7 linked regions of the Coturnix japonica genome follow. The protein of the gene in region 5 interacts with the protein of the main gene of each other region in a pairwise test. Links are inferred from orthologs where the notes say so. Each region holds a gene or a part of one and is shown on either strand. Other genes may lie near its edges.

Evidence for each region.
Region 1: the proteins of CEP70 (region 5) and MFAP1 interact in binary tests that used the Homo sapiens proteins (3 or more experiments, as listed by UniProt). The two-hybrid records come from large-scale screens. The link is inferred for Coturnix japonica from reciprocal best matches to the Homo sapiens genes CEP70 and MFAP1.
Region 2: the proteins of CEP70 (region 5) and TAF1D interact in binary tests that used the Homo sapiens proteins (3 or more experiments, as listed by UniProt). The link is inferred for Coturnix japonica from reciprocal best matches to the Homo sapiens genes CEP70 and TAF1D.
Region 3: the proteins of CEP70 (region 5) and RHPN1 interact in binary tests that used the Homo sapiens proteins (3 or more experiments, as listed by UniProt). The two-hybrid records come from large-scale screens. The link is inferred for Coturnix japonica from reciprocal best matches to the Homo sapiens genes CEP70 and RHPN1.
Region 4: the proteins of CEP70 (region 5) and KANSL1 interact in binary tests that used the Homo sapiens proteins (3 or more experiments, as listed by UniProt). The two-hybrid records come from large-scale screens. The link is inferred for Coturnix japonica from reciprocal best matches to the Homo sapiens genes CEP70 and KANSL1.
Region 6: the proteins of CEP70 (region 5) and AKAP17A interact in binary tests that used the Homo sapiens proteins (3 or more experiments, as listed by UniProt). The two-hybrid records come from large-scale screens. The link is inferred for Coturnix japonica from reciprocal best matches to the Homo sapiens genes CEP70 and AKAP17A.
Region 7: the proteins of CEP70 (region 5) and KAT7 interact in a two-hybrid assay, tested with the Homo sapiens proteins (2 studies listed by BioGRID and IntAct). The two-hybrid records come from large-scale screens. The link is inferred for Coturnix japonica from reciprocal best matches to the Homo sapiens genes CEP70 and KAT7.

Annotation. Positions count from the first base shown.
Region 1 is NC_029525.1:18,263,637-18,267,789, reverse strand, and holds the start of MFAP1 (microfibrillar-associated protein 1), read right to left. Parts: upstream 2,801-4,153; 5' UTR 2,694-2,800; coding exon 2,615-2,693; intron 2,378-2,614; coding exon 2,158-2,377; intron 1,946-2,157; coding exon 1,816-1,945; intron 1,502-1,815; coding exon 1,314-1,501; intron 946-1,313; coding exon 837-945; intron 764-836; coding exon 603-763; intron 361-602; coding exon 201-360; intron 1-200. UniProt on the Homo sapiens protein: Involved in pre-mRNA splicing as a component of the spliceosome.
Region 2 is NC_029516.1:166,172,905-166,177,039, reverse strand, and holds the start of TAF1D (TATA box-binding protein-associated factor RNA polymerase I subunit D), read right to left. Parts: upstream 2,801-4,135; 5' UTR 2,691-2,800; intron 2,371-2,690; 5' UTR 2,358-2,370; coding exon 2,131-2,357; intron 2,046-2,130; coding exon 1,589-2,045; intron 1,462-1,588; coding exon 1,286-1,461; intron 868-1,285; coding exon 807-867; intron 492-806; coding exon 378-491; 3' UTR 1-377. UniProt on the Homo sapiens protein: Component of the transcription factor SL1/TIF-IB complex, which is involved in the assembly of the PIC (preinitiation complex) during RNA polymerase I-dependent transcription.
Region 3 is NC_029517.1:133,709,870-133,713,369, reverse strand, and holds part of RHPN1 (rhophilin-1), read right to left. Parts: intron 877-3,500; coding exon 748-876; intron 1-747. UniProt on the Homo sapiens protein: Has no enzymatic activity. May serve as a target for Rho, and interact with some cytoskeletal component upon Rho binding or relay a Rho signal to other molecules.
Region 4 is NC_029542.1:2,310,763-2,314,972, forward strand, and holds the start of KANSL1 (KAT8 regulatory NSL complex subunit 1), read left to right. Parts: upstream 1-1,410; 5' UTR 1,411-1,595; intron 1,596-4,210. UniProt on the Homo sapiens protein: Non-catalytic component of the NSL histone acetyltransferase complex, a multiprotein complex that mediates histone H4 acetylation at 'Lys-5'- and 'Lys-8' (H4K5ac and H4K8ac) at transcription start sites and promotes transcription initiation.
Region 5 is NC_029522.1:18,779,387-18,782,761, forward strand, and holds the end of CEP70 (centrosomal protein of 70 kDa), read right to left. Parts: intron 3,173-3,375; coding exon 3,004-3,172; intron 2,218-3,003; coding exon 2,103-2,217; intron 1,213-2,102; coding exon 1,100-1,212; intron 708-1,099; coding exon 646-707; 3' UTR 501-645; downstream 1-500.
Region 6 is NC_029516.1:116,242,508-116,246,705, reverse strand, and holds the start of AKAP17A (A-kinase anchor protein 17A), read left to right. Parts: upstream 1-1,398; 5' UTR 1,399-1,523; exon of another isoform or gene 1,524-1,688; 5' UTR 1,689-2,104; coding exon 2,105-2,866; intron 2,867-4,198. UniProt on the Homo sapiens protein: Splice factor regulating alternative splice site selection for certain mRNA precursors. Mediates regulation of pre-mRNA splicing in a PKA-dependent manner.
Region 7 is NC_029542.1:2,708,597-2,712,542, reverse strand, and holds the start of KAT7 (histone acetyltransferase KAT7), read left to right. Parts: upstream 1-1,146; 5' UTR 1,147-1,358; coding exon 1,359-1,373; intron 1,374-2,668; coding exon 2,669-2,816; intron 2,817-3,616; coding exon 3,617-3,793; intron 3,794-3,946. UniProt on the Homo sapiens protein: Catalytic subunit of histone acetyltransferase HBO1 complexes, which specifically mediate acetylation of histone H3 at 'Lys-14' (H3K14ac), thereby regulating various processes, such as gene transcription, protein ubiquitination, immune regulation, stem cell pluripotent and self-renewal maintenance and embryonic development.

The sequences.
Region 1 (4,153 bases), on a different chromosome or scaffold from region 5:
GCATTCGTGTCTTTACTCACCCTGCCTGCCAGACCTGACAGGCACCTCAGATCCCCTCAGTCACTTCAGCAGCACGCTGCTGTTGAGGGCCAGCTCTGGTCCTGTGTGCTTGGCCAGCCCTTACTTGGGTACCACTAGGGAAAACTCCCCCAAAACAGCCACGTGGTCCACGCAGCCCCAGGCCTGGCAGCAGAACTCACCATGAAGAAGGCGCCACGGTGGTAGTACTTCTGCAGGAACTTGTATTTGCCCTTCACTGCCTTGTTGGTGATGACTTTGCCGTTGGCTCGCAGCTCGGCACGGCGCTCCTCCTCTGTCAGGTTCCTCATCCGCTCGATCTCTGCCTTCTCTTTCTCCATGCTGGGCAAAAGAGAAACCCTGAGCCCCTGCATCCCTCAGTGCCCTCCCAAGATGGGACAGCTGCTGCCACCCGGGACTTTCTGACGAATACGTTGACTGACTCCATAATGGAGTAAAGCACCTCAAGAAAATTCCTGATGCTGCCAAAACAAAGACTGAGAAAGAGACGCCTCAACTGCCCGCTGTCCTGCAGGGCCTGGGACTGCAGGGACCCTCCCCTGCCTTAAGCAGACAGTACTTACGCTTCTCGTTCTTCACGATCCCGTTTGATGCGCTTCAGCTCACGTACTTTCCAAGCCTCGTACTCCTCCTCATCATTCTCATCGTCTGTATCGAGAGCATCAAGTGCTGCCAACGAGCGCTTATTCTCTTCCAGCTCCTTCTTTGCCTCCTCTTCCACGATCTGAAGCCAAGACCAAGCTCAGCTCACTGCAATGGCTGCCCCAACATGCATGCCCCAGTCTGCCCCGCTGTACCTTGAGTGTGTACTTGCGCCTCTCTTCTGCTAATCTCTTTGCCTCCTGTTCTAGCTCCTTCTGCTTCAAGGCTTCTGCTTCTCGCTCCTGAACTGTGATCCGGTCCTTCCTGTGAGCAGGGACCACAAAAGCCTTCAGCCTTTCAACATGCCACTGCAGACCTCTGCTCCCACTGCAGCCTCTTTTAGTCTTTATGCCCCCCACGGCAGGGCCAAGTCCCAAGGCTCTCTCCTTTCTGATTTTGCTCATTCAAGAGCGACCATACTCAGTCTCCTCACATCTGCAGACATGCACAAAGGTGATGGGAGACCCTGCTACTGGCTGTGGAACATGTTGGAGCACACTACCTGGTTTCTGTTGTGCTGTACCTGCCTAAAGTCCCCAGTTGGAAGTACCCAGCCATGCCCTACCAGGTCAGTCACTGCCCATCCCTGATGCAGTGCTTGGCCCATGCAGCTGTATCACCTTATCACCTACTTGCGGATGAAGACAGGTTTGAGACGTGGCTCCATTTCATCCTCGCTGTCTGTGTACTCCTCGTACTCAGACTCTGACTCAGACTCTTCTCCAGATCTGCCCTCATCTTCCAGCTCCATCACTTCCAGCTCCTCAGTTTTTCTCTCCTGCGCTCTCTGACGCATCATCCCACGCCGACGCTCGATCTCCTAATGGAGACACATCAAACACAGACTCAGCCAACCAGCCCCACTATCGCTTCCTTCCTTTTTCCATATAAAAAGCATGATGTTGAGCTTATATGATATGATGTTGACTGCTTATATAAGCCCACACCTCAGAACGCAGGTGACCTCCCTGGTGCCCCATAACCCACAGGCTGTGGTCACACCACAGCTGGCTTTAACTCAGGTCCCAACATCCACCCAGTCTCACCACAGTTCACGTGTGTCTGCAAGCACGAATTCCAGACAGGGCCTAAGGGGACTTTCCCAGGCCACATCTGCTCAGCAATATAACGAACCTCATCATCGATCTCTTCCTCTTCCTCTTCACTGGTGTCCTCTCTCTCCACACGCCACGCTTCACCTTCTACCTCAGAATCACTCTCTCCGACCACTTCAGGCTCCACAATTTTGCGGTGTCTTGCCAGCCTGCAACAAATGTCCACTCGACTACGAAGCTCTGAACACAAGGAGACTAAAGAAGAGAAATCTTTGCGATCTGTTTCTAATGAGACCGTAGTCAGACCCGGGACCACGAAGCGTGTGAAGGAAAGAGGCATCCCCTGCGTGCTCAGGAGCCCGGAAACACAAAGCTGGGGGGGAGCACGAGGAGGGAGCAGAGCCCGGAGCCGAGCACTCACCGCTCCTCCACGTCCTCAGTGATGCGGTTCTGCAGCCGCCGCAGCCGCGGGTCGTTGGCGACCTCCTCCTCCTGCTCCTCGGGCTCCACCTCCTGCTCCTTCGCCTTCTTGATGAACTGGAACTCCTCGTCCTCCTCCTCCGAGGATTCCATGGGCGCGTAGTCGGGCCGCTTCCCCGACACGTACCGCTTCACCTTCACCTTCTCCATAGACAGCTCGCCTGCGGGAGGGGGGGGAACAGCAGCGGGAGGAACAGCAGCGGGAAGCCATGAGCAGCCGGGCCATGAGCAGGGCGCCATGGGCAGCCGGGCCATGAACAGCCGTGAGCAGCCATGGGCAGCCATGGGCAGCCGGGCCATGAGCAGGGCGCCATGGGCAGCCATGTGCATTCATGCCATGAACATTCACGCCGCCGCCGTGCCCGCGCCCCCCGCCCCTCCCGGCGCCCCGCACTCACCCTTCTCATTGCGGACGGGCACGGCGCCCGCCGTGGACTGGATGGGCGGCTGCTTCACGAGAGCGCTGGGGGCCGACATGGCGGCGGGACGGGACGGGACGAACCGCAGCCGCTCACAGCACCGACCGACCGACAGACCGACAGACCGACCGCTCACCCGGAACTGCAACTCCCGCTTCCGCCGGCGTACCGGAAGTGAACGCGCGCCGAACCGTCGCAAGCCGCCGGAAGTGACGCTCAGCGTGGAGGTCATTTCCGGCTCCTGTGGCCGGATGTGGAGCTGGTTTCGGCCCGGTCCGGTCGCGGTGCAGCGGCGGTTCCCCTCAGGGCTCGGTTCCCCTCAGGGCTCAGATCGGCCCCGCTGTGATCTCTCCGCTCATCGCTTCGGGGCTCGGGAGTGGTGACGTGCTGCGGAGCCGGCCGCACGTAGCCCCGGCCCGCGCCGGGTCCCTGCCCGGGATTCCCGGGGCCGGCTGCCGAGTCCTGCCCCTGCTGCTCGTGTGGCTGCGGCTGGAGGCTGCGCTCAGTGTCGGTGCTGAATACCGGGTTACCATCGGTGCTGAATACCGGGTTACCATCGGTGCTGAATACCGGGTTACATCGGTGCTGAATACGGGTTACCACGGTGCTGAAACGGGTTGCCCATCGGTGCTTGGAATGCCCGGGTTACCATCGTGCTGAATGCGCGGCGTACCTCGGTGCTGAATTTACCGGTTACCATCGCTCTGCAGGGCTCTCCCCGGGCTGTCCCCCGCCCTCTGGCTGCCAGGACTTTCCCGCAGCACCGGCCCAGGGCAGAGGGAATTACCCGCAGGAGCAGCCCCTACATGGAAGCGGGCAGGTTTCCTGCCCCAGCTGTTGCTGCTCACGTCAGAGCCCTTCACACACCAGTTGGGTTTCGCAGGAAAGCAGCCCAGCGCCAACTCGTAGCAGCTGCCCACGCGGTAGCAGCCAACCACAGGAGATAAGATTTCTCTTGAAGCCAGGAAAAACTGGGTCACCAGCCACCACAACCGCGTCTGCAGCGCTGCGGTGCCTCCCCAAAAGAAGGGAAGAGGTTTTATCTTCCGGGAAATCAGCACGGGGGTGCCAGGCAGTGAGACCTGCTCCTGGGGACTGACCTCAGCATTCCCTTGTGCTGGCAGGGTGGGTCCCCTGGGCACAACAGCTCCTGGGTAAGCCTGACCCTGCTGGTGCTGTGGCAGGAGAAGAGCTGCCACTGAGCAGGCCCAGGCAGAGCTTTTGGCCGCTCCAGGGTCCCTGTGATTCTGCTGTGCGTGCAGCCAGACCCCAGTGCTGCAGTTGTCCCGCTGCCTCGGGCACTGGTGGCTTTGTGCTCCTGCAGCAGCAGTGCTTGGGGGTAGGCAAGTCCTTCCTGGTGTTCCTGGCCTTGATGTCCCGATGACAATTAGAGCTCTGTGCCCAGCTCCTGCTCCGCTCCCAGTCATCAGCTGAGATATCAATTTTGTGTGGTTATCACAGCGTGTTCCTACCTAATGGTTCCCGTGTCACCATGGCAAGGAGCGAGCTTCAATGTAT
Region 2 (4,135 bases), on a different chromosome or scaffold from region 5:
ATGAGCAGGACTCCACACCCACCTCACTGCATTACCCTGCCAGAACCCCACTCCTACATCTAGTCTGAGCAACCGCAACAAGTTCCCATTCATGCTACAAGATCAGCAGATAGTCCCTGTTGTGCTGAAGGGCTTCTATCTCTGCTCAGTCACCTTCGTAAGACCCCACTCTGGACTGAGGAGGGGAAGAAGGGAATAGAACTTTTCATCACACTGCTAGTTGTTTTAAAGCAGCTTGAGATTATGATATTGGATTTAGGAGAATTAGTTTATTCTACACTGCTTAATTACAAGAGCTGGAACTCTTAGTCCTGTAGCTCTGTGACCTGCTGGTTCCACAAGCCAGGCTGCGGAAGGTGCTATTTCAGCAGGATCACTTAGCAGCAGCATTCTTCTTCAATCACTCCAGCTGACTTTGCTCGCTTTGTTTTGGCCTTTGATTTCTTCTTCTTGTTGGGAATTTTGCTGCTTATAATGAAACAGCTTTTGTCCTGAGAACAAAAAAAAACAGCATTCTCAAGTCTGGTTTGGAGACACTTGAAGTACCAATTTATTACTAACTTCCTTTAGGAAGTTTTATGGACGCTTCAGAGAACTGCCCAATTTCCGCACATCCCAACATAATTCCAAAGAGCTCAGACTTCTCTCAAACCAATTTCCTCTTGTACTACACACCAAAACCACACAAACTGGTTAATTCCAGATCCAAGCTCAAGAATTAAGTACTCAAAGCATCATCTGTTACTTATTTAACACCTCAAAAGAGAAAACAGGTTATAGTTTTCAAATTATGGATGTTTACTCACCACTACTCTGACATCAAAGTCTTCTGGATTATCAGAGCCCAAGCAGTTATCATCGTCATTGCTGAAAGGCAGGAAATTCAAATCAAATCTGTACTTCTACAGTAGCGCAGCATAAACAAGCTGTTCTCCTAATGCAGCACCACTTCCTCATAATGCATATGGAAACGCTACAGCTTACAGGTCTGGGATGCTCCCACTTCTACATGAGGCTACACTGAGAGCCTGTGGAACAAGATCCTTATCTAAAGCCATGAGCTGTTACTTATTTTCTCTCTCTGCTCTTTTAAGGATGAGGAGAGAGCACACAACACAGCAGTGCTAAGCCAACAGAATCCATTACTGAGTTACAGAAAAATCCAAGAGGTATTTCACCAATTAATATAATGCACGTGCCAGACAATAAAGACAGCAATGCTGAACACACAGACTTTAAGTTGAGAACAAAACAGCAACTTTTATACTACTGAAAATGAACTTACTTTGTCTCCTGGATAGGAGAAATGGGGCCTTTGTCATCTAAATATTTATGTTTCCGCGCTGTCAGACATTCCCTTTCTAAGTCTTCATTTGCTTCAAGGGATTTCAAAGCCTTTTTGAGGTGTTCTTCAGCTTTAAGCATTTCAACATACTGGAAATATCCCTTCGCAGCTGCTTGCTGCAAAAAAAAGGAATAGATCTTAAATACAAACAAAGAAATGAACCATTTATATAATCAACCAGACTGTAACATTAAATGACAGCCTTAGGTCAGCTGGTTCTCTCCCACAAAACACAGGGCTCACCTCATAGCTAAGAACCATATTTACGGGAATATGTTTCCTCCCATAATGTTTTTCAACAAAAGGGAACTGAAAGCCTGGATCCCGAAGCCTTCTCCTTCGCTCCTGAGGCGGGGCTGTCATGGGCCGATTCCCACCACGCTTCTTTGGGGGTTCCGAGCGTCTCTTTGTCTTCCGTGAAACACCGCTCCTGTATCTTCGGTGCGCAGCAGTTTTAAACTTCCTTCCTCTGAAGTGATAGGCAAAAATGGCTTTCAAATCGAGCTTGGATTTCCTCCTTTGGGAGGGTTCAGGTGGCCTCACCGGGCTCTCAGGGAGCAAAGAGTCAGGACTTTCACCATCAGACACTCGTGCATCAGCTCCTGCTTGTTTCCTTGAAGGCTGCGATCTCCTCTTTTGCTCCGCAGAGGGAGCAGTGCATTTCCTAGAGCGTTTGCTGCCCCGAGCAGCTGAAACATCACTGAAAAAGAAACGTGTACATTCAACAGAGCACATACGTTTATGAGTCTTGTTCGTAAGTGATTCTAAGGAACCAGGTAACTCACATTTCTGAATCGCTGCTATCCACCTCAGATGAAGATGTATTTGTACTACTAGTCTCATCTGAAGACTCCTCAGGAGTGGCGTCCTTCTGCCTCGAGCACAAACGTCTCTTCCTTGCATTCACTGCACGCTCAGGTATTTTAGATCTTTTTCGCCTCTGAGTGGATACGAGACTCTGAGCATCAGGATCATCAGAACAAGAGGTGTGGGATTCATCTGTATCACTCATGTTTTAATCTGCCCTGAAAGAAATTAAATATGTTTTACCCCAGGCAAAGCTTTTCACATCCAAGGAACGTATGTGTCTCCCTCACAGTAGCCCCCTCCCGCCCACCATCCCGGGGCGGACATTTTGCGCGGTTCCCGCCGCTCTACCACAGCCCCGGGCCGCCATGAGGAGCCCATTTCCCACATCCCACCCGCCCCAGGGCCTTCCTTGCGCTCCGTCTAGGAATCGCTCAGCGACAGGATGTGCTTTGATTCTACCCCAGCCTCACAGCGGGTCCTCACACGGCGGATGGCAGCGGATTCAGCGCACCGCCATCACCAACCCAACACTCACCTCACGCTTCACCTCCGGAAAGGGCGCGCAATGGCCGCCCCCGAGCTTAAATAGCGCTCGGCTCTCGCGAGAGCAGGACGGGGCGGGGAGTGCCGTGAGGGGGGCGGGGATGGGCGGCCGCAGGTTGTGGGCATTGGCTGCGGTTCCCGCTCGCTGTGGGTCTCCAGAGGGTGGCTCCTGCAGGTTTGGCTCCGGGACTCTTTTTAGACTCTTTTTACCCTCGTTTACGTGGCCTGAATTTCCCTTCTCGCTTCTCTGCTGAGTTCATCTGCACGTTGGCGCTGTCCCTGTTGGCTCTGTGGCTCTGGCTGTGCTTCCTTCTCCCCCCAGCCCCCCGCTATGAAGCGTTTCTATCCAGCCATTAACTTCTCCTTTCCGTTTTCTGCCCTTTCCTGCTTGGAAAAGAAAAGCCGCAGTGTCTCGACGTGTCGGTTGTTTCCTGCCATCCCGTTTGCAGCGTTCCTGTGACAGCTTCCTTCACAGAAGGGAGAATCGCCCATAGAAGCGGACGAGCCCCCAGCTAAGATGGAAATCACTCTACATAGACAGCTTGCTTTCTTGCTCTATTGCTTGTTACAGGCAGAACTTGAGGTAGCTGAACTTTGAGCTCAAAGTCTCGCTTTTTCTTCCATGAAAGGTTCCTATTTTGTTACGTGCAGCAGGCGTGTGCCTAAGGAGTTAATGATTTCTGGGGCTGGTTTATAGGTAGCATGTAACCAGCTGCTTGTGCCTGGAGCTGCTGGTTTGCCCTCGTAGCAGGTTATGCTGTTGCATGACTGAAATATAGCTCGTTTCAAAAGAAGCTCCAACATTTCTGTTCTGAACAAAGCTTGCTGTGAAAGGCTCTGAGCTGATATAGAGTCCAGTGCTGTACAACTTGCTGCTGCTTTGGTGCCTTTGTTTGGCTTTGAGATGCACTACAACCTTCTTCCACTTTGGAAACACGTGCCTATAAGAAACTGGGAGCCAAGGTTGAAAGTCCATCATAGCCAATGCTGGAAAAGTAAACATTAAGGTAGTGAAGACCGGGTAAGGCAGTTATTGTGCTTAGAAAAGCGTGGCTTTGGGTTTACAAAGGACAGATAACTGACCTGTCCCTTGAATTAGGTTCAGCGTATTACATATTTTGTCTGTACTGAGATGGAAGTTTGAGGACTAACAGATGTAATGCTCTGAAGCAGCTGCAGAGCTGGTAGGCACACCTGCTTCCAAAGCACATAGAATCATAAAATCACCAAGGTTAGAAAAGACCTGAAAGATTATTCAGTACAACCATCCACATATTACTAATAGCTGCCACTAAACCACTAATAGCTGCCACTAAACCATGAGAAAACACTAATCTTGAAGCTGTCAGTTTTTCCCTCAATGGTATAATAACAATTCTACTGTTATCTATGTATTCTCGGGTGAATTTGACAGATAAATTGCATATTGAAAGCAGT
Region 3 (3,500 bases), on a different chromosome or scaffold from region 5:
GTTTCCTTTTTGAACCAAAACAAACACTTGGGCATAGCTCAGGGAGGATGCCTGCAATCCTGGGAGTCCAAACTGCAATCTCCCATCACCATCCCGCTGTTGGGAAAGAGGGAAAACATCCAGGGTAGTGAAGGTTATTGATGACCACAGGTGGAGCCTCCTCAACCCTCCTCTTCTCTCTGCAACCCTAATGCAACACTCACACATCCAGATTGTCCTTGCTCTGCACTTAGCAGCAGTGCAGCAAACAGAAGGGAGTCAGTGATGCTGCCTGCAGCACTTTGTGCCCCCAGAAGCAGAACAACCTCCTCAAAGGAGGACAAGACAATGAGCAAAGCACATGGATTTATGGACACCATCCAGATGTTTTGGACTAACTTCTGTAGCTCCAGGTTGCTGCAGCATCCCTGGCCTTTTCTGCCTTTGTGATTTCTGCTTTTCTCACCTCCTTGAAATGGCTTTAATGAGTGAAGCGTGAGGTGACTGGGTGTGCATTTCAAAGCGACAGAACTTCTCAATTAGCAAAAGGTCTAACCTCAGAAAGAGGGGGAAAAACCTAATACCCTTGGATAGGAAAAGAAACCAGCCGAAGATCAGCTAGAACAAGAGACTGGGTACAGTTTTAATTACTTAAATATCCCACTGGAAACCATCATGCTCTAGAAGGATGCTCAGGACAAGGAGAGCCAATCTATCCCATGCCCCGGTCTTCTATTCTCCAGCCAACCCCCAAGCAAAACCTACTACCTGTCATTCTGGTAGACATCCATGCAGCTATTCAGCTCTTCCAGCTCCTCCTTCAGCAGCTGCAGGTTGGAGTTCACGTAACTCAGTTCCAACGCAACCGTTTCCTTGACCTTGTGGTTACTGGTGGCTCTGCAAGATAACACTGCATGGATCAAATCTCCCTGTAAAAGCCTGGTTGAGTTGAAGAACAGCAACTAAATAAACCTAGAGCAACGTATATGACTCTCAAGAAGTATTGCTCATGAGCTTCATCCACGCTCCCATCTCCAGCACATCTTTGGCTTTGGTTATAAGCACTCAGGTGTCTGCCCACACCAAACAAAAGCTTTGTTTCATGCTTAGACCTCCACTTAAAACAGAACTTCCCTGTGTGTGCAAATAACCATTCTGCAAGAGCCAGGTTTGCCATGCTCACCCATTAGCAGCACTCTCCCCTCCCTTCCCCCTCATGCATGTCAAGAGATGTAAACACCAAGGATTGATTTCAGCTGCAGCAAGCTGCCTGCTCTCAGCAAAGCAAACTCCCAGGCTGATTATACCCTCCTTATCTGCTCCAAACTAAAGCAGGGAGAGATAACCCAGCAGCCAAGCAAAGCCAATGGCGAGCAATTGTTGACTCTCTGAAAGGGACTCTCTGGCTGCTTACCCTAAATCACACCAAGCCCCACTGGGATGCAGTAAAAACACCATGTGTATGAGCTCTGTTCAGCCCCAGATTTTGCAGAACACATTGCTTTTGTTTATTATTGGCATCATCCATCAGGGCCTTTGCTCTGACCTGACGAGCTATGCTGATTTTCTTTCAAGATGATGGCTCTTTAGTCTCCTCCTCTGCACCTCCAAGACAGTTTTGCTTGCTCTCAGATTTAGAATGAACATTTTTAACCCTGGACCGCTTCATTCTGCATCCTGCAAGTGCTTTTTGCAGCACAGAACCTCTCAGAGAGGCCATTTTTAAGAGCAAGCAATTGTGTATCAGTAGCACAAGGAGCAAACATATGCTGGTAAAGGCTTTGGTATTTTCATGCTGGGCATTGATCTCTATAAGAGCACACAAAGTGGAATTATCAGCTGTTTGCTTAATGTTGAACAAAGATTTCTGAGTTATTTAAAAAGAATTGGTTCACTGGCAACACCTTTATCTTCACTGCACCCCAGTATTTGAACAAGGAAAGAGTTTCCACTGCTGATTTACTTACCCAGCAAGAAGAAAAATACACAAAAAAAAACCCTACAGCCCCATAATGCTGAGCAAACACTGTGTGCATTTTTAACCAACGTGCCATTCATGGCAGCTTCTCCAGGGAAGGGAACTGAACAGCTTAGGAAACTGCACTGAGATTTATGGTGGCTTTTTGAAACCAAGAACGGAGAGGAATTGCAAACTTCACTAAAGGCTGAGTTGTTCTTTGCATTTTGCATAGATTTGTTAGGTCAGGGCAAGTCAAGTCTAAAAAGGTTGTTGCTCAGAATTTATTATGATCTTCCCCTCTCAGCCTTTAATTTAAGGCACAGCCTTCATTTTCTTCCCCTCAACGTTTACAAACTCCAAAAGCCCACCCCCAAAACCACATATCAGCTGTAAACTCGACTAGAGGGAAGGTGGGAGGAAGGAAACATCATTGCTATTAAAGCACATCCAAAGCGCTGATCCAGCCAAAAAAGGGCCCCATCAGTGCATTTTGCCTCTGCCCTGCAGGAAAACAATCCCTCCCTTCCCTGGACAAGTAATTAATACGGCTTTTGCATCATAGTTTTGCTCACTCCCTGGTGAGGGAGGAGGTAGAACAGCTCTGATGCACACTTTTCCACACCAAAACCACAGCTGGGCACATTTGCTGCTGAGGCTGCATATTTTAAGGGAATTTCTTTTTCTCTTCATAACAAAAGGTGAAGCACGTGGAGTGGCACGTGGAGGTCTCACAGACGTTTTAATTAGGTGAGTTATGGTCCTTCAGGGCTTCATACCTCGCTGTCCCCAGGATCCCATCTTCCAGGGGATCCCTGCTGTTCTCAGCCACCTGTTAAACTCTATTACTTGCTGTGGTAGAACACTGATAGCTGCTTTCTTTCAGCTGTACATATCACTGACATCAAATCACCCCAATCCAACAAGAAAAAGTCTGCTTTATTGGAGAGGGTGGGAGGAACAACACTAAAAAAATCACATGATAACCATGAAAAAAAGCAGTCTTCGTAAAAGAAAAATATCTTAACAAGCCCACACACCTGTTCATATTTATTACAGGAACTTGATACACACTCTACAGCTATAAAGAAGGTCATCTACAGGTTAGAAAGGCAGTAGATGTCCTATTTTTTTTTTTTTTAGACATTAGGCTATTGCATCATGACTTCATCACGACCCCTCTTTAGGAATGGCAATAATGTGCTGAACCAGCTGTGACCTGAATGCCATGCAGAAACAGCAGTTTTTGTGCCATCCCACAAAGGCACCCTAGTAGCAGGATGGAGAGCTGCTGGGCTGTGTCTGTATGCAAAGGAATGCTTGAGTATCCCAACAGATTTTCCTTGGGTGGAATTACTGGGACAGCTTTTCTCTTTTAAATAAAGCTGGATTTGACCCACTTACTGGGGGGTATCATGCAGGATGTCTGCACTCAGAGCTCAATCCCAATTCAACATTAGTTTCCATAATTGCATCCATTCCCAGTCTGCTTTCTAACAGGCTTGCAGGGCATTAGAAACAACCACTTGTCATTAACCCCCACTGCATCAGCACAGCACTGAAC
Region 4 (4,210 bases), on a different chromosome or scaffold from region 5:
TTTCCTGCAAGATGGGCACAGTGTCTCCTATAGGATATGATTGTGGTGTCACTTACACCACAGCGTAGTGTGTACACACACTGGCGTAGTGTATCCCTATGGGGGATGGCTGTGGTGTCACCAGGGGGTTGCTGGGCTTTATGTCCCTGTTATATGAGGACTTAGTGTGCTTTGGGCCTGCTGTCACCTATAGGACACAGGCTTTGTGGCCCCAGTGGGGTTACAGCCCCGTGGTCACTGGTGGGATGTGGGCGCAGTGTCCCCTGTGCTGTGTGTGCTGCTGTCAGCTGCGGGCCGTGGGTTTGGTGCCACCCGTGGGCTGTTTGCGGTGCCCCCTGTGCCCTATAAGGGCTGGGTGTCACCCATAGGACCCGGCTGTGCCACCAGCTTCATTCACAGGCCTGGTGCACCCCGCGCTGGGACACGGGCCTGGCTCCGGCTGCGGGACGCGGCGCTGCGTGCGGGACGCGGGGCTGGAGCTCCCGGCCATGCGGGACCCGGCGTCATCCCGGTGCGGGGCCCAGCTGTCACCGCACACCGGGGCCGGCCGCAGCCCTGCGGGACACTCGGCGCACACAGCCCGGTGCCGCTGCTCCCTCCGCACCGCGCCCCGCACAGGGCGGCACCACCGCGACCCCCCGCACCCGCTGCCCCGCGCTGCCCCGCGCCCCCCGCCCGGCTCCGGGCCGCCCCTCGTTGTGTGAAGGCCGGGACCCCCCGGGCCGAGGTTCGCGTTGTCCCGTGTCGCGGGGCGGGTTGCGGTGCGGGGCGGGTGCTGCGTGTTGGGCTCCGGGCGGGGGCGCCCTCGGGGGTCCCGGCCCCGCAGCGGGGGGCGAGTGGCGGCCCCGCATCAATCACCGCCCGGCCCCGCCCCCTCGGCGCTGATTGACGCGGCGCGGACCAATGGGACGGGCGCATGCCCCGCTGTCGGCCAATGGGGACGGGGGAGGGCGGAAGGTCCCCACTTCAAGGCTGGTTGAGCGGCGCAGGTAGGTGCGGGCGAGGCGCTGCCGGTGCGGGACGGCCGGGTCGGGATGGGGGGGGGTCGGGGTCGGAGGTGATGCGGGACACGGGGGGTGCGCGGGGGGTCCGGCCTCGTCCCGCCTCGTCCCGCCTCGTCCCGCAACTTGGGCTGCGTGTTGCGGGCCGCGGCTGGGAGGGAGAACGTGGAACGGGGGGGGGGGGCGGGACAGGAGGGGCCGTAGGGCGCGGGGTGGGCTCAGCGCTGCGGGGGGGGTCGGTGCGGGGCGGGGGGTCCGTCCGACAGGGCCTGAATTGCGGCCACGGGGAGCGAGGGCACATCCCGGGCCTGGGGGGGGCGGACGGATGGACGGCGGGGCGTGAAGGAGGCCCGGGGCTGCGACGGTCCCCCCGCATCGCATCGCATCGCATCGCAACAGCTCGGGCCCCGCTGCGCCCTCGGGACGGGCCTGGGCTGCGGGGTCGGTGCGGGGCCAACGGTCCCTTCCGCTGAGCGCGGCCGCTTCTCCCCGCAGCTCCCGGATCATCTCCCGGCTCCTCCCGGCCGCGCTTCGTCGGTAACTTGAAGAGCGGTGACCGCCCGGACCATGGGCCCCGCCGACATGGGCTGCCAGGTACGGCTCAATCCGCGCGGGGTCGGGGGGACGCTCAGGGCCGACAGCGGAACCTGCCCCAACGCCGTGTGCCCCAATGCCGGCTGCCCCCAATGCCGGCTGTGCCGTCCGGGCTCCGGGCCGCTTCCCGTCGGGGCTCGACACGGCCGCCATCCCCATCCCGGCTCCTTATGGAGCGCCGTGATTCGGAGCCGGAGGTGCCGGGCTGGGTCCGGCCCGTGTGGGCGGCGCTGGCAGCGCGTGGGTGATTCCCGGTGTCACCTCCGTGTTGGGGCAGCACCCGGGGCTGTGGGGCCAGGAAAAGGCCGATCCGTGCCGCTTCCTCGTGCCCTGCATCCTCACATCACCTGCATCCTCACATCACCACCTGCTCACTCACATCACCTGCTCACACCGCCGGCTCCTCGTTGGGTTTACACCGCTTGGCTCCTCCTGCCTCCATCCTGCTGTGTGTTGCTGATACCCGCAGCTCTGTGTGCCCCCGTTGGGCGGCTCTGGTGGGTTTGGTTTCCTGAATGTAGAGAAGTTCTTTTGCTGTGGGTGAAGCAGAAATCATTTCTCTGTCCTTTCACGCTGATATTAGACAAACCTGCTGTGGTATCTGAGCTCCATTGGCTGACACAACACTGGAGGCTCTTAGTGCGTGTGTATAAAGTAACTGTGGGTTGTTGTGTGGGCCTTGGGAATAAAGAAGCCTGTAAGTTTAGGAGGTTATGGCTGAACTTCTCCCAGGTTCCTGTGGCTCCTGTTCATAGGAAGCCAGCAAGGGGCTCGTCTGGGATCAGTCCTCGCTTCTACAGTGAGCTGTTGGCCAAGCAGGGCTCAGCACGTGGCTGCATGGAGTTTGATGGCGATGCTGTGTGCCCCGTGAGCTGTGTGTGTTAGTCACAGCATAGATCTGAGTAGCAAAGCATTGGGGCTGCTCCCCCCAGCAGGGCAGGTGGGGAATGGGGTGCAGGAGGGTGACTGCAGTGCCAGAGGAGCTGGAGAAACATCTCTGTGCTGATGGCTGAGGCTGCTCAGTGCTTCTGCTTGGAGGCACTGCAGAGGGTCTGGTTGACCTTCATTTCTTTGAGCTTTCTGTTCCTGTGTCAGCAGCGTTGAGCCTTTGACCAGTGAGTGTTCAACCACTTCTATGTCCTGTGCTCCTGGTGTGTGCTCAGTCTCAGGCACCTAATCCTGCTGTTGAAGTCTGCGGGTCTTCTTCATCAGAGAAGAAAGCTCCATTGTAGCTTGTAAGTTTTCACACAGCTCTTTACCTGCAGCTCCAGAGAGAGGAAGGGGGGGTTTCTGGGTGCACAATGCTGTGTCTGCTTGCTCCTTCACCTCTCGCAATGGTGGGAGAGCTGCAAACCCTGCCCTGCTGTGTTCCCCTCGCTGCCAGCAGCTGAGCCTTGCTATGGGAAACATCCTCAATAAGGAGAGCACGGAGGGGTCTGACTCTTCCTGCTGGTGATATCTGACATTTCCCTGCATGGCTGAGGGTTTGAAGGCAGGTGGATTGGGCTCAGGCTTGTGAAGCACCCAGGGCTCAAAGACCTGTTGGTGCAAGGCAATTCCATGGAGGGATCCTGGGAGCCCTAAATGTGGGTTGGGGGTTTTCTTGCTCAGGATAAAGGGATGTACATGAAGAACTTCAAGTGGAAGGGAGAGGGGCTGAGCTGCTTCCTCCTGTCCCAGTCCTTTGTGCAGCACACACTGTGTTTGCTGGGAATTGAGGTTCCAAACTCACCCTTTCTAGTTCTTCTGATTGATTTTCGTACATGAAAACTCCCAGATGGATTTGTCTGTAGCACAGCAATGCTGGATGTCACTCCTCAGTGGGAACACAAAGATGAGTACTGAGATGTGCAAGCATTGTCCCCAAACTCACCCTGCATCTCCTGGCTTTATGAGGTGTGGGCTCCTCGTGGTTAATGCAAGATCACTTTTCCCTTGATATAAAGCATTCACAATGGATGGGCAGCAGCTTCTATGAAGCACAGTCACTTTACTGAAAGATAAGACAAATAACATCATGATATAATTCAGTCTCTGAGGCAGTATATTGTACATTGCACAAAGCATTGTGGTTTCCATAACTTGCAACCTACTGCTTTAGCAGGAGGGTTGGACCTGGTGATCTCTAGATGTCCCTTCCAGCCCCCCATGCCCTTAATTTCTGCCATCATAGCGTTTCCTAAGCAAACATCCAAGAAAAGTGATGGGACCTGAGGTTTCTCTTGCACCTCTTGTGCAGTTTGACGTCTGTGTTTTGAGTGGATCTAAGCCAGCACGATGATACTGTTGGCAATGGAATGGGGATGTAAGTGATAAGGGGTTACAACTAGAGGTGTAAGTGGATGCTTTGCCATCTGTGAGCCCATAAAAGCTGGCTGGCTGGTCCCCAGATGAACTAAGTACTGAAATTTGGGGCTCTTTTTTGGGAGTACTCAGCGTGCTGTTCATCTTTGGAAACTACTTCATCGTGTTCCTTAAATGGGTAAAAACAGAGCTTCCCATCAGGGCTTTAGGTTAGGATTTCTGTGCAGAACACGTGGGGCTGCTGCTGTATCTTGGCAGGATGAAACCAAGGTCTTCGTCAGGGACTTAGTGGTGAGGTTAGTTACCTTCAC
Region 5 (3,375 bases):
CTTGGTGTACTTGTTTGTTTACAATAAACTCTGACATGTCTTGCTTAAGGAACTTTATCTATGCCCTTCTAAAAGTGATGGTAGAATATAAGCGTGGTAACTTCAAATCCCTTCTAGGCAAAAAGCTGTAAACCATGTTCTGATGTAGGCTTAAAATGTGTTCAGCCTAGATTACATTAATGTGGTGTGTTTCAATCCATAACCAAAAAAAAAATAAACCTAGCTGAAGATCTAAACAGCATTTTAAAATAGGCTCTCAAGACGACCAAGGTAATGATGAAAGTATTACATCTATAGGGCACTCTGAGCAACGTCATCTCATACCTGCTGATGAGCTACATTCAGAAAGGTAAGTGCCTTTGTGGTCTTTGCTTTTGTGTTGGCTTCAGTTTCCTATATCAGTACGGTATGTATTGGTCCTCTCTCCAGGACAGAACAGGTTATTGTGGTTATTTTTCTTGTTTCGTGGTCAGTGTAAGAATGCAGAGAAACTAAAAGAATGAAGTGGCAAAGCCAAACTTTTATTTATATTAAAAAGTCTGAAACTGTTCATTAGTAACAGAGGTTAGAGGTAGCTGTAATGACATGTGAACCAACAAGGCTGCCTCACAGGTTAAGTCTTCCCAGGATAGATCAAACTATCCCTTAACTAGCTACCAATTTCAGCTTTCGTACAGTAGGTAAAATATCATCCAGGTTATTGATCTCTGAAACAGAATGAAAAGCAGAATTGTATGAGTTGTATATAAAACACTTTAAAGTTCAATCATAATTCTAGCTTAAGTGTTAGAAATACGGCCAGTGAGCAAAAAAACTACTGCAGAGAATAAACTCCTCAAACCTCTTCATGCTTTTGGGGGAAGAAAAACGTTATTTTAGCTTATAAGTTTTATGGTTGAATGTAAATGACCCCATTTTTCAATGAAAACTTCATTATTTCAGTAGCTTTCTTAGCAGAGCAAGGTAAGGCTTAGCACCTTTTCTCACAATTTCCTTGTGTTTTTTTGCACACCAGGAGTAAACAAAGTGTGTTAGCTATTTAACAGCCTGGGAGGGAGCTCTGCCATGGAGATAATTACAGCATGGAAATGTTACTCACCTAGAAGAGAGAGCAAATCTTGAATGAGGGCTTGAAACGGTGGAAAGAAGCATTCATGTTCTTCTAGCTTATTGATGATACTGAGATTTGAAAGTAAGACCGTTACTGCAAAACTATAAGAACATATTAAGTTCGTTTTCTTGGCTTTTTTGCCATACAGTGTCACTGCTTTCTGAAACTACTGTTACTTAGTATATACAAATACACCTGCACCAAAAACGCATCCTCATGTACTGAAACCTGAAGCCAACAATTGTTAAAAGTCAGATTATTTTTGATTTCACTGTTTCTGCCCAATATATTTTCCTCCTTATACAGTGCTGTGTAATTTTTGGTCTGGAGCAGCAGCCTGTATATGCTAAATATATCAGCAACCCAGGTAGTATAAGAGCTAGAGGTGGAGGCAAGAACATTATAAGCAGCTTGTCTATAGTTAAAACTGCATGGAGCACTGAAAGGTTGATGGTGTCACCGTTGTTCACTTTGCCTGTTACAAATTTACTGCTGCAGTTAATCTCTTTGTACACTTGTACAGCACATTCTGAATGCAAGCTCTTACAACTTGCTACCACCTCTGTGTTCTCATTTGTTGATGATTTGTCCAGCTCTCGAAAGATTTTCAGGAAGCTTGAGGTGTACGTTCTCTCAGCAGCTAATACATTTCAATATTACAGTCGCAACCTTGAAGTAGTTTCGCATCCCCACCAACATACAGCACTTGCTATGTCTCCTTATGAAACATAAGCTTAAGAGGCTTTTTTGATCACTGTATCCATGCAAATCAACAAGGTAGTGCTAAGGGAACCTTATTTTTTTCTATTTACCAGAAATACCCTTTAGAAAGTGTTCAAGACTTGTTCCATGTAGGATAGTAGTAAATCCTTTACTGTCACAGCACTGTAGCAAAGGACAGAAGTCTCCTCCAGTATCAATTTTAGGCAACTCTGTCAGTTCATAAGATTTCTGTTTGCAGAACTGTTGCCAGTGGAACAGAACTAAATACCTGTGGATGTCTTGTGTCCCCAGGAGCCGCCGTAGTTGTTCAGTCACATTCTCGTTAATTATGTCACACAGTTTCCCAACTGTATCCACCACCATGGTGGGTGGAGCTGAACTATCTGGAAAACACAACTTCATGTTTCTGGTAAGAGTAATAACAGGAAAAGAAGACATAATTCAGTTCTTGCAGGTGCCCAGATTCTATTGAACTTTCATGTATCATAGAGGGAACTGTTTCCTGATATTTTGTTAGTAGCAAGAACTTGCTCTGTTTGCTTGTTTTAACCTGCTTTGGCTACTATGATGAAAGGTAAAAATACCAGGTTCTTTTCCTTTCCTCACTCAGTTTCAGATGAACTAATTGTGAGAAGGTGTCCACTGAACTCCATTGCTTTGTAATTACAAGGGGATGAGAAGCTTCTTCATTTCCTGTTGGTGGTGGCAGGCAGGAAGTCTGCTTCCCTCTTTGAATGAGACTTCAGAAGGCTTCAGTAGTTTAGGAGCCTTGCCCTCTGGCTGTACACCCTGCAGCACAGCCAAGCCTCTAAACCCATGAACTCAGGGAAGATTAGCAGCTGCTGTTCTTCAGAAGTGCAAAACCAGAAGAGAATGAATAGGCACCTGGAAGTGACTACTGGTGGCACTTAGTTCTTGACATTCAATACTTAAAAGAACAAGTAAACATTTAGGATTGTAAAGGGGTGTTCTTAAGGACTGAACATGCTTACCCTGGAATGAGTTACTGAGAAGAAATCTAGAGCAAAGTTTGTTATTCCAAAACAATTTAAAACAAACAAAAAACCTTATGTTTCAATTGATAAAGGAGAATTAGTAAGTAAGTGCTCATAAAACAAAGCTTTTCCTTTGGAAATAGCCTGAACAAGTGGTAGGTGATGAGTCTTTACCTAGTTCCAGGAGCTCATGGAGATTTCTCATAGCATTGGTCAGTTCCCCAAGTTTTGTGTACACCTCATTCATTCGTGGGTAAATGCCATTCAGAGAATTCACATCAAACAGCTTCTGGAAGTGAGAGACTATTGCATACAGTGTTGGTAAGGATGGTGTCTGGCTGTTCTGCAGGAAGCAGAAAGGGTAACTTTACTAAGTTGTTGCTTCTTTTAACCACGAGATGTTCTTAAAACTAGTCCACAAATTAAAACAGGTGTAACTTCCCTTATTAAATTGAGGCATTTTGAATATTCTTAAATCTCAAGAGAGATATCCAGCAAGCCAAAAATACTCTTATGAAAACAATATTCTTTTGGAAGCTTTGTTTT
Region 6 (4,198 bases), on a different chromosome or scaffold from region 5:
GCAGAACCTTGGGCTCACAGCCCCTAAAGCAGCACTTAATTCAGCTGTCCATCTCCTATGCTTTCCGACATTCAGAATACTGCAGGTCACCCAGCACAGCCTCCAGCTGACAGTATGCAAGCTCTATGGAGACTGTCCAGCCCCATGTATGTGGCCTGGATATCTCACAGCATCCTAAATAACACTAGTTGTTTATACAAACAAATTCTGTCCTGTTGTTTTGTGATGTTTTTTCACAGACGTGACATTGAGTTGATTCTCAGGAAAACCACAAGCTGTCAGAAAGGTCAGAAAGCAGCAAGTGAAAGGTTGTCTTCCTTCGGAGGTGCTCCTCCTGCCTGGAGACATTAGTCAGAGCACTGTGATCAATGGCACAGAGCCTAGTTGTAGGCCTGTAACTAGTGGTATTCTCCACAAGTCAGTGCTGGGTCCAAGCTTGTACAACAGTTGTCAGCAATCTGGATGAATGGATAGTCTACCCTCAGAAAGTATAATGATGTAGAGCTGGGGGGAGTGGATGACACACTAGAAGGCTGTGCTGCCATTCAACCAGAGCTGGACAGGCTGCAGAGTTGGGCAGAGGAACCTGATGGGGTTCAACATGAGCAAGTGAATAGTCTTGCACCTAGGGAGGAATAACTGCATGCACCAGTACAGGACAGGATATGACCTGCTGGAAAGGAGCTCTGCAAAGAAGGACCTGGGTGTCCTGATGGACAATGTGCTGGCCTGGTGAGGGCACATCTGGAGTGCTGTGTTCAGTTGTGGGCTCCTCCATTCAAGAAAGACAGGGAGCTATTAGAGAGAGTCTAGTGGAGAGCAACAAAGATAACTGGTGCCTGGAGCATCTCCCTTATGAGAAAAGGTTGAGACTTGGGGTGTTTCACTCTGGAGAAGGTTCTGAGGGTGTCTCATCACTGTTCACCCGAAGTCCAGGAGTCAGGTCAGTGGAGGTAGAGTCTTTTTGGTGGCATGCAGCAATAGAAATAGACCCGGGCTGGAAGGGACCTCAAGGATCATGTAGTTCCAACCCCTCTGCCTGGCAGGGCCACCAAACATACACATTTACTAGATCAGGTTGCCCAGGGCCCCGTCCAACCTGGTCTTGAACACCTCCAAGGACGGGGCATCCACAACCTCCCTGGGCAGCCTGTTCCAGGGCCTGACCACTCTCCTAGTGAAGAACTTCCCCCTAACATCCAACCTAAATCTTCCCTCTTTTAACTTAAAACCATTTCCCCGTGGGTCCTTTCCAACCCCAACGATTCTATGACTATGCTCTGAGAGAGAACGCAGACATTGCGAACACAGCCCCGCACAGCCATCACTGCCCAGCTTCCACAGCCTCCGCCCGCTCCACATGCTCCACCTCCCGCTCCTCCTCGCTCCGCCGCCGCGCAGGCCGCCATCGCGCACGGCCAGGAAGCGGAAGCTGCTGTGGAAGCTGCGGCGGCTCCTCTGGGCTGCTCGCGGGGCTGGAGGCTGTTTCCTGGGGGTCCCACCCGGCCCGGCCCGGTCTGCGGGTGAGGCGGGGAGAGGGCGGGGAGCCGTGCCCCCGCCGGACTCTGTTGGGGTGCCGCTGGTGTCGACATTGGGAACGCTGTCGTAGTTCGTAGGGGTGAGGCTGCCGAGGGCCGGTGGCGGGGCTGCGGGCCTTTATGTAAAGGGGTGTTTTTGTGTCGTTGCAGGCTGCTGGCGAGGAGCCTTCCTGCCGGCGAACGAGGCACCCGCCGCTGCGCTCCTTGTTGTGGGTGCGTTTGTTGTTCGGAGCGGGCTGAGGTCGCTCCCGTTCCTTCCTCCCCGGAGCCGGGGGAGCTCGCCGGCTTCGTGTGTGCCCGAGATTGCCGTCAGCTCCTTTTCTTCTGAGGCCTTGCTGAGTTTTAATTATTTGTAGGTTCTGGTGGTTGTAAAGTAATTTAAGATGTTTGTGCTGCTCGGTTTTAACTCGGTAATTGACTCTTGTCTTAAGAGACGTTGGTTGGGAATGGTTAAATGTCCAAAGAATGTTTACGGATAAGGGCTGTTTTATTTGACTACTGTGAGCCTGCAACTTTAAACTTGCATCTTTATTTATTTTTTTCTTATCCTGTGCTTTTTCTGTGTTATGGCTGCTGCAACGATAGTTCATGATACATCAGAAGCCGTAGAGCTCTGTGCTCCCTGTGGGTTATACCTTAAACCCATTACAAAAATGACCATCAGTGTGGCACTTCCTCAGCTGAAACAACCCGGAAAGTCCATCTCGAACTGGGAAGTGATGGAAAGACTGAAAGGGATGGTACAAACCCATCAGTTTTCCACTCTGCGGATTTCCAAAAGCACGATGGATTTCATCCGGTTCGAAGGAGAGGTTGAAAACAAAAGTTTAGTCAAGTCTTTTCTTGCGTGCCTTGATGGAAAAACGATCAAACTGAGTGGCTTCTCCGACATCTTAAAAGTCCGTGCCGCAGAATACAAGATTGACTTTCCTACCAGGCACGACTGGGACTCGTTTTTCCGTGATGCAAAAGATATGAATGAAACTTTGCCAGGAGAAAGGCCGGATACCATTCATCTAGAAGGCTTACCTTGTAAGTGGTTTGCAGCAAAGGACTCTGGCTCAGAAAAGCCAAGTGAAGAAGTCCTGACAAAAGTTTTCCAGAAATTTGGAGAAATACGTAACGTGGACATACCCATGTTGGACCCTTACAGAGAAGAAATGACTGGCAGAAACTTTCACACATTCAGCTTCGGAGGCCATTTAAATTTTGAGGCTTACGTTCAGTATCGGGAGTATGCAGGCTTCATTAAAGCCATGAATGCCCTGCGAGGAATGAAACTGATGTTTAAAGGCGATGATGGCAAGGCTGTGGCTTGCAATATAAAGGTGAGAAGTTGTTGTCACTGATAAATGTGAATTCCGTAGTCCCCTGTATTCCATACAGTTGTTTACTGTAGTGCTGAGAACAGCTGATGTTACTGTAGGGTTTGAGGAACCAGCTGTAATGCAGTTTTAAAAGGGAAGTGATAGAATAAACATGTTGTTAGACTGTAAACAAAGCGGGGTGAGGCTTTTATCTCTCTTTTTTCCCCCCCTAAGCAAAACATTTACTGATGTAAAAACAGCTAAGGAACTACCAGATATTGTGAACATAACTTGTTAACTGAATTTTAGAAAGTAATGTATATTTTCAAGTCTTGTGATTTAGTTTATAAAATAATCTGTAGCAAGTTCAGACTCGCTAAGGCTGAATTGAAAGTGCATTTTCTTTTATGTATAGTAACAATTAGGAATTCTGGGAAGAGTGACAGCCGTTATATTTGATACCTCTGCTGATAAGGAGATCTATCTGTCAAGTGTCGGAACTGTGAGGCAATGCTATGTGGCCTGGATGGCCTGTGGAATAGAGAGTTAATAGTGATTAGTGTACTTTGTGAACAGAAAGGCCATTCAAACATTGAAACAATACTTAGCTTATTCCATACGTTTTCTGTGAATCCAGTGTGTTGTATTCATAATATTTACATACCGACTTCTCCAAATTGCTTTCTCTGTTACTTCATTGTCGTAGGAAGTAAAGTTATTGATGGGAGATGATGTGGAACAAGTCGGTCTCTCCAGATGTTATATCTGTGCAAGTATGGCTTAAGGAAAGCTTGTTGTGATATATTTGGGGACTTGTCTGTGTATTTACATAATGGTTGAATTGCTTATTTATTTCAGCACGCTTAATTTTCATTCATCAAGTCAGCAAGTAGATTTCGGGAAAAAGCTGAAGTATTTATGTAATTTGGGAGCATTCAAATATTAATTGATTAAGTTGTAAGTTAGACACTTATTATCTTGTTATTAAAGTTGGTCAGCTGAAGCACAGACATTGCTGTTCGTATGCCCTCCTATTCTCAAGGGGATGTGAAATTCAAACTGTCACTTGCATGCAGTGGATTGAGGTTCCCAAATTTAGTTTCTCTGTGCAAGAGAACGCATGCCTTCCTAGCAGCTGCCCTGGGATTGATAGCAAGAGAGAAGGCTGTGTCTGTGCTGTCAAGACAGATCGCTTTCATGCAAGGTCACCAGACTGCCCAACTCTGTTTCTACAGGGCTTTTATTGAAGCATTACTTTTATGTTGTCTGAACAAATTAAACTGCACAGTATGTATGCCTTGTTCTGTGCTCCATGGTTCGTGTCTTCCAAAGTACAGTGGCTTGTGTTACAGA
Region 7 (3,946 bases), on a different chromosome or scaffold from region 5:
GCACACACACAGCTTCCAATTCCTCTCTTTTTAAGCTAAAAACAGACATTCCATTTGACTCCTCCATGTTTCCCTTCCAGCATCCTATAGATCCTAAGAGCAACAAGTAGCAATGAAAGCAACTTGCATGACTAAAGGTGACACAAAGCACCGGGATTATAGGATTAAACCGCGATTATTCGATAATCCCTAAAGATAAATTAAATACAAACAGATCACACGTTTAACCAAACGCCCTCATTCTCAGCAGGGCTGAGGGAAAATCGCATCCCTGTTGCAAGCTGAGCTGGGAGAGAAACACAAGGGCAAATGTTCATACACACACATAGAAATGATGAGGAGATAAAGGTTAACCAACAGCAAAGGCCCATCTGTATAAGGGAGGGAAGGAGGGAGTAGGCCCAGAGCGCCTCAGGCCTACAGGGCCCACACCTCAGAGGCCTACAGGGCTCAGGCCTGCAGGGCCCACCTCAGGCCTGCAGGGCCCACACCGCAGAGGCCTACGGGGCCCACCTGAGGCCTACACAGCCAACCTCAGAGGCCTGCGGGGCCCACACCGCAGAGGCCTATAGGGCCCACCTCGGGCCTACGGGGCCCGCACCTCAGAGGCCTACGGGGCCCACCTCGGGCCTACAGGGCCCACCCCGCAGAGGCCTACATACAGGGCCCACACCACAGAGGCCTACAGGGCCCAACCTCAGAGGCCTACAGGGCTCAGGCCTACACGGCCCACCTCAGGCCTACACGGCCCGCCCAGCCCCGCCCGCCACAGCGAGGAGCCGCGGCCTAGTGCAAGACCGCACGCAGGGCAGACGGCAGCACCCCTTGACGAGGAGGGCCGTCCGGCCGCCGCTCCCCGCCTCCGCCGTAAAATGAACGGGGACTCACCGCCTTTCTCCTCCACCCAATCAATCACTCCATCACCCCGACGGCGCGTTTCTGCCCGGCCCCAACATGGCGCCACGCGGAGTGTCTGTGAACACCCGTTAGACTTCACTCCCTCACTCAACATGGCCGCCGCCGCAAGCCCCGATTCCCGCCGAGTTGGGGGGGGGGGGAGCCCAAAACCAAGATGGCCGCCCCAACTTCACTCTTAGACAGCCAAAAACAAAGATGGCGGCTCCCGCTGGCGTGAGGCTCGCGCGGCGTCACGTGACAAGGGGGGTGTGGGCCGCGTCCCGGCGGAAGCGTGAGGGACCGAGCGGGGAGTCGGGCTGGCGGCGGAACAGACGGGCCGTAGGGCGGGCGATACGGCCGGCACCACGGAGCCCGCCGGCACCAACACGGCGGCCAACGCCGCTTCACGAACCGGGGGAGCCGGGGAACAAGCAGCATCGCTGCCCCCGCCCCCTCCGAGGATGCCGCGCAGGAAGGTGAGTGAGGCCGGGGAGGGAGCGGCAGGGTCAGGACGTGGCTTTCTATCTTTCCCCTCCTTTCTATTTAACTGTTATGGGGAGAAAATAGGGGGGAAATAGCGGCCTGCAGCACCCCCACATCTGCGCCCGCCCCCCTCGCTCGCTTATTGGCTGTTGCAGAGACCCGCGCAGCGCTGATTGGCCGCCCCGCTCGTCACTCATCGCCCCCAACGGTTCCCCTTTTCCTCCCCCTCCGCCTGCAGCGCGTCCCTCCTCTCGGTTTCTCCCATTGGGCAAACGGTTAAAGAGTCGGCCGCCTATTGGCTGGGTTGTCACACTGGGCTGGCCGCTGATTGGCTACCACGGTTGTCCATCACCTCTCAACGGTCACCTCCCCGCGCGTGCCTCGTTCCTCCCCTCCCCCACCCCACTCCTCTCCGGTGGGGGTTGAGCAAACCTCTCCCTGATTGGCTACCACCAGCTGTCACTCACACCCTACCGGCATGCTCCTTCTCTCATTGGCGAGCTCACCTTTCCGGTCCCACCCACTCGCTTTATGATTGGCCGAGACTATAGAGCGCAAAACAAAGCGGCCTAAGGGCGGTGTGCGCGCTCAGTGGCCGCCACTCGCTCCTCACAGGCCCGGAGCCTGAAGGCCGCTGTCGTTATACAGGCCTCGTTTGCGGCCTAAGCTGAACACAGGCCTCTGGGCCTAAACCGAACACAGGCCTCTGGGCCTAAGCTGAACACAGGCCTCGGGTCTAAGCTGAACACAGCTTCGTTGCCTACCGTGCTCCCTCCTGTTGTTTTCCAGGCCCAGGTTTGCTCTGTGTGGTGTACAACTGACTCATCCCCTGCTAGGCCCCGTCTATTCCCCCCCATTACCCCTCTGGGCCTTCAGGGTGATGATTATTAATGACACAAAAGGGTTTATATCTGCCATGAAACGCTTGGCATTTATATATTGAACACATCACAGTGTCAACTCAATGTTATCTATCATATGCTTTCTATATGGGTTTATAACATGGCACATCACAGCATACACTCAATGTTATCATATGCTTTCTGTATGGGTTTTTAATGTGGCACATCACAGCATACACTCAATATCTATCATATGCTTTCTGTATGGGTTTATAAGGTGGCACATCACAGCATACACTCAATGTTATCATATGCTTTCTGTATGGGTTTATAACGTGGTATATCACAGCATACACTCAATGTTATCCATCATATGCTTTCTGTATGGGTTTTTAATGTGGTATATAAGCACATCCCTGCTGATATCCTTGTCTATGGTGTCGTAGAGGAACGCGGGCAGCAGCTCAGATGGAACAGAAGACTCGGATTTCTCCACGGATCCGGAGCACACGGACAGCTCTGAAAGCGACGCCACGTCACGACGGTCCGCCCGTGTCACCCGCTCCTCAGCCAGGCTCAGCCAGAGCTCCCAAGGTAAAGCACCTCATAACACATCAAGCAGGAGGATTTAACCTTGGTAGTTATATTGGTAAGCAAAAGAGGGAGGTAATCATATATGTCAAGATGTGCTTTCAAGGCTTGTTTTGCTTGCCTTTACGCCCAGTTTAAAAGAAGAAGCCTATGTCCACCTCCTGATTTTTAGCTTTACAATATCAATTCCTTGATCTCTTGGTTATTAAGCTGCCTCAAGGGGAGAAAATGGCAGTAGATAAGTTTGTTCCTTCTGTGTTGTTTTGTGATGGGTTTTCTTGTAGGTAAAAAACCTACTTGCATGCCTCAAAAACAAGAAGAAAAGTGGGTTGGGTTGGTATGTGGGATGCCTGTAATGCTGCTAGGGTATGAAAGCATTGTTTTCATGCAGAATAAACTGTTTTATAACCTTATGAGCAGTGTGTCTATATAAAACCATACGTGGTGTCCCAAATGTGTCTCTATACCAGGAGCAGCTTTGATATTCTCAAGAGTTTTCTAAATGCTGATAGCTGTAATCTAAGTTAATCGCTACTACTTTCTAAATGGGAACTGTTTGTAATTCCTAATCCATTAAGTTATTATCTCAGAGAAAGTGGATGTAATACCAGATCCATGTGTGTTTGTAAAAGTGAATTAGAAGAATATAAACGTATCTCCGTGATGATGTGCAATGGTTGCACAGAATCCTGTGCTGATACCCTATCAGATGTCGGTGTTACAGACATCAGAGCTCATGTGTTGCAGCTCACGGGCATTCATTGCTTCTTGTGGGTGTAATTATGGTGTTTCTATGACATTAGATTCCAGCCCAGTTCGCAATCCGCCCTCATTTGGAGCAGAAGAACCAGTCTATTCCACGAGGAGAGTGACCCGCAGCCAGCAGCAGCCTGCTCCTGTGACTCCAAAGAAATACCCACTCCGACAGACCCGCTCGTCTGGATCAGAAACAGAACAAGTGGTTGACTTCTCTGACAGAGGTACGTAGACACAGTGAGGTGTCGAGAGCTTGTAAAATGCCATTGGAAAGGATATGTGGCTCCATTCTCTGGGCACAGTGTGATATCCTCAGGTTAGAGGGTTTGAGACAGCTATCCAGAGTTGCTTTACATATATATATATATATTTGAAAG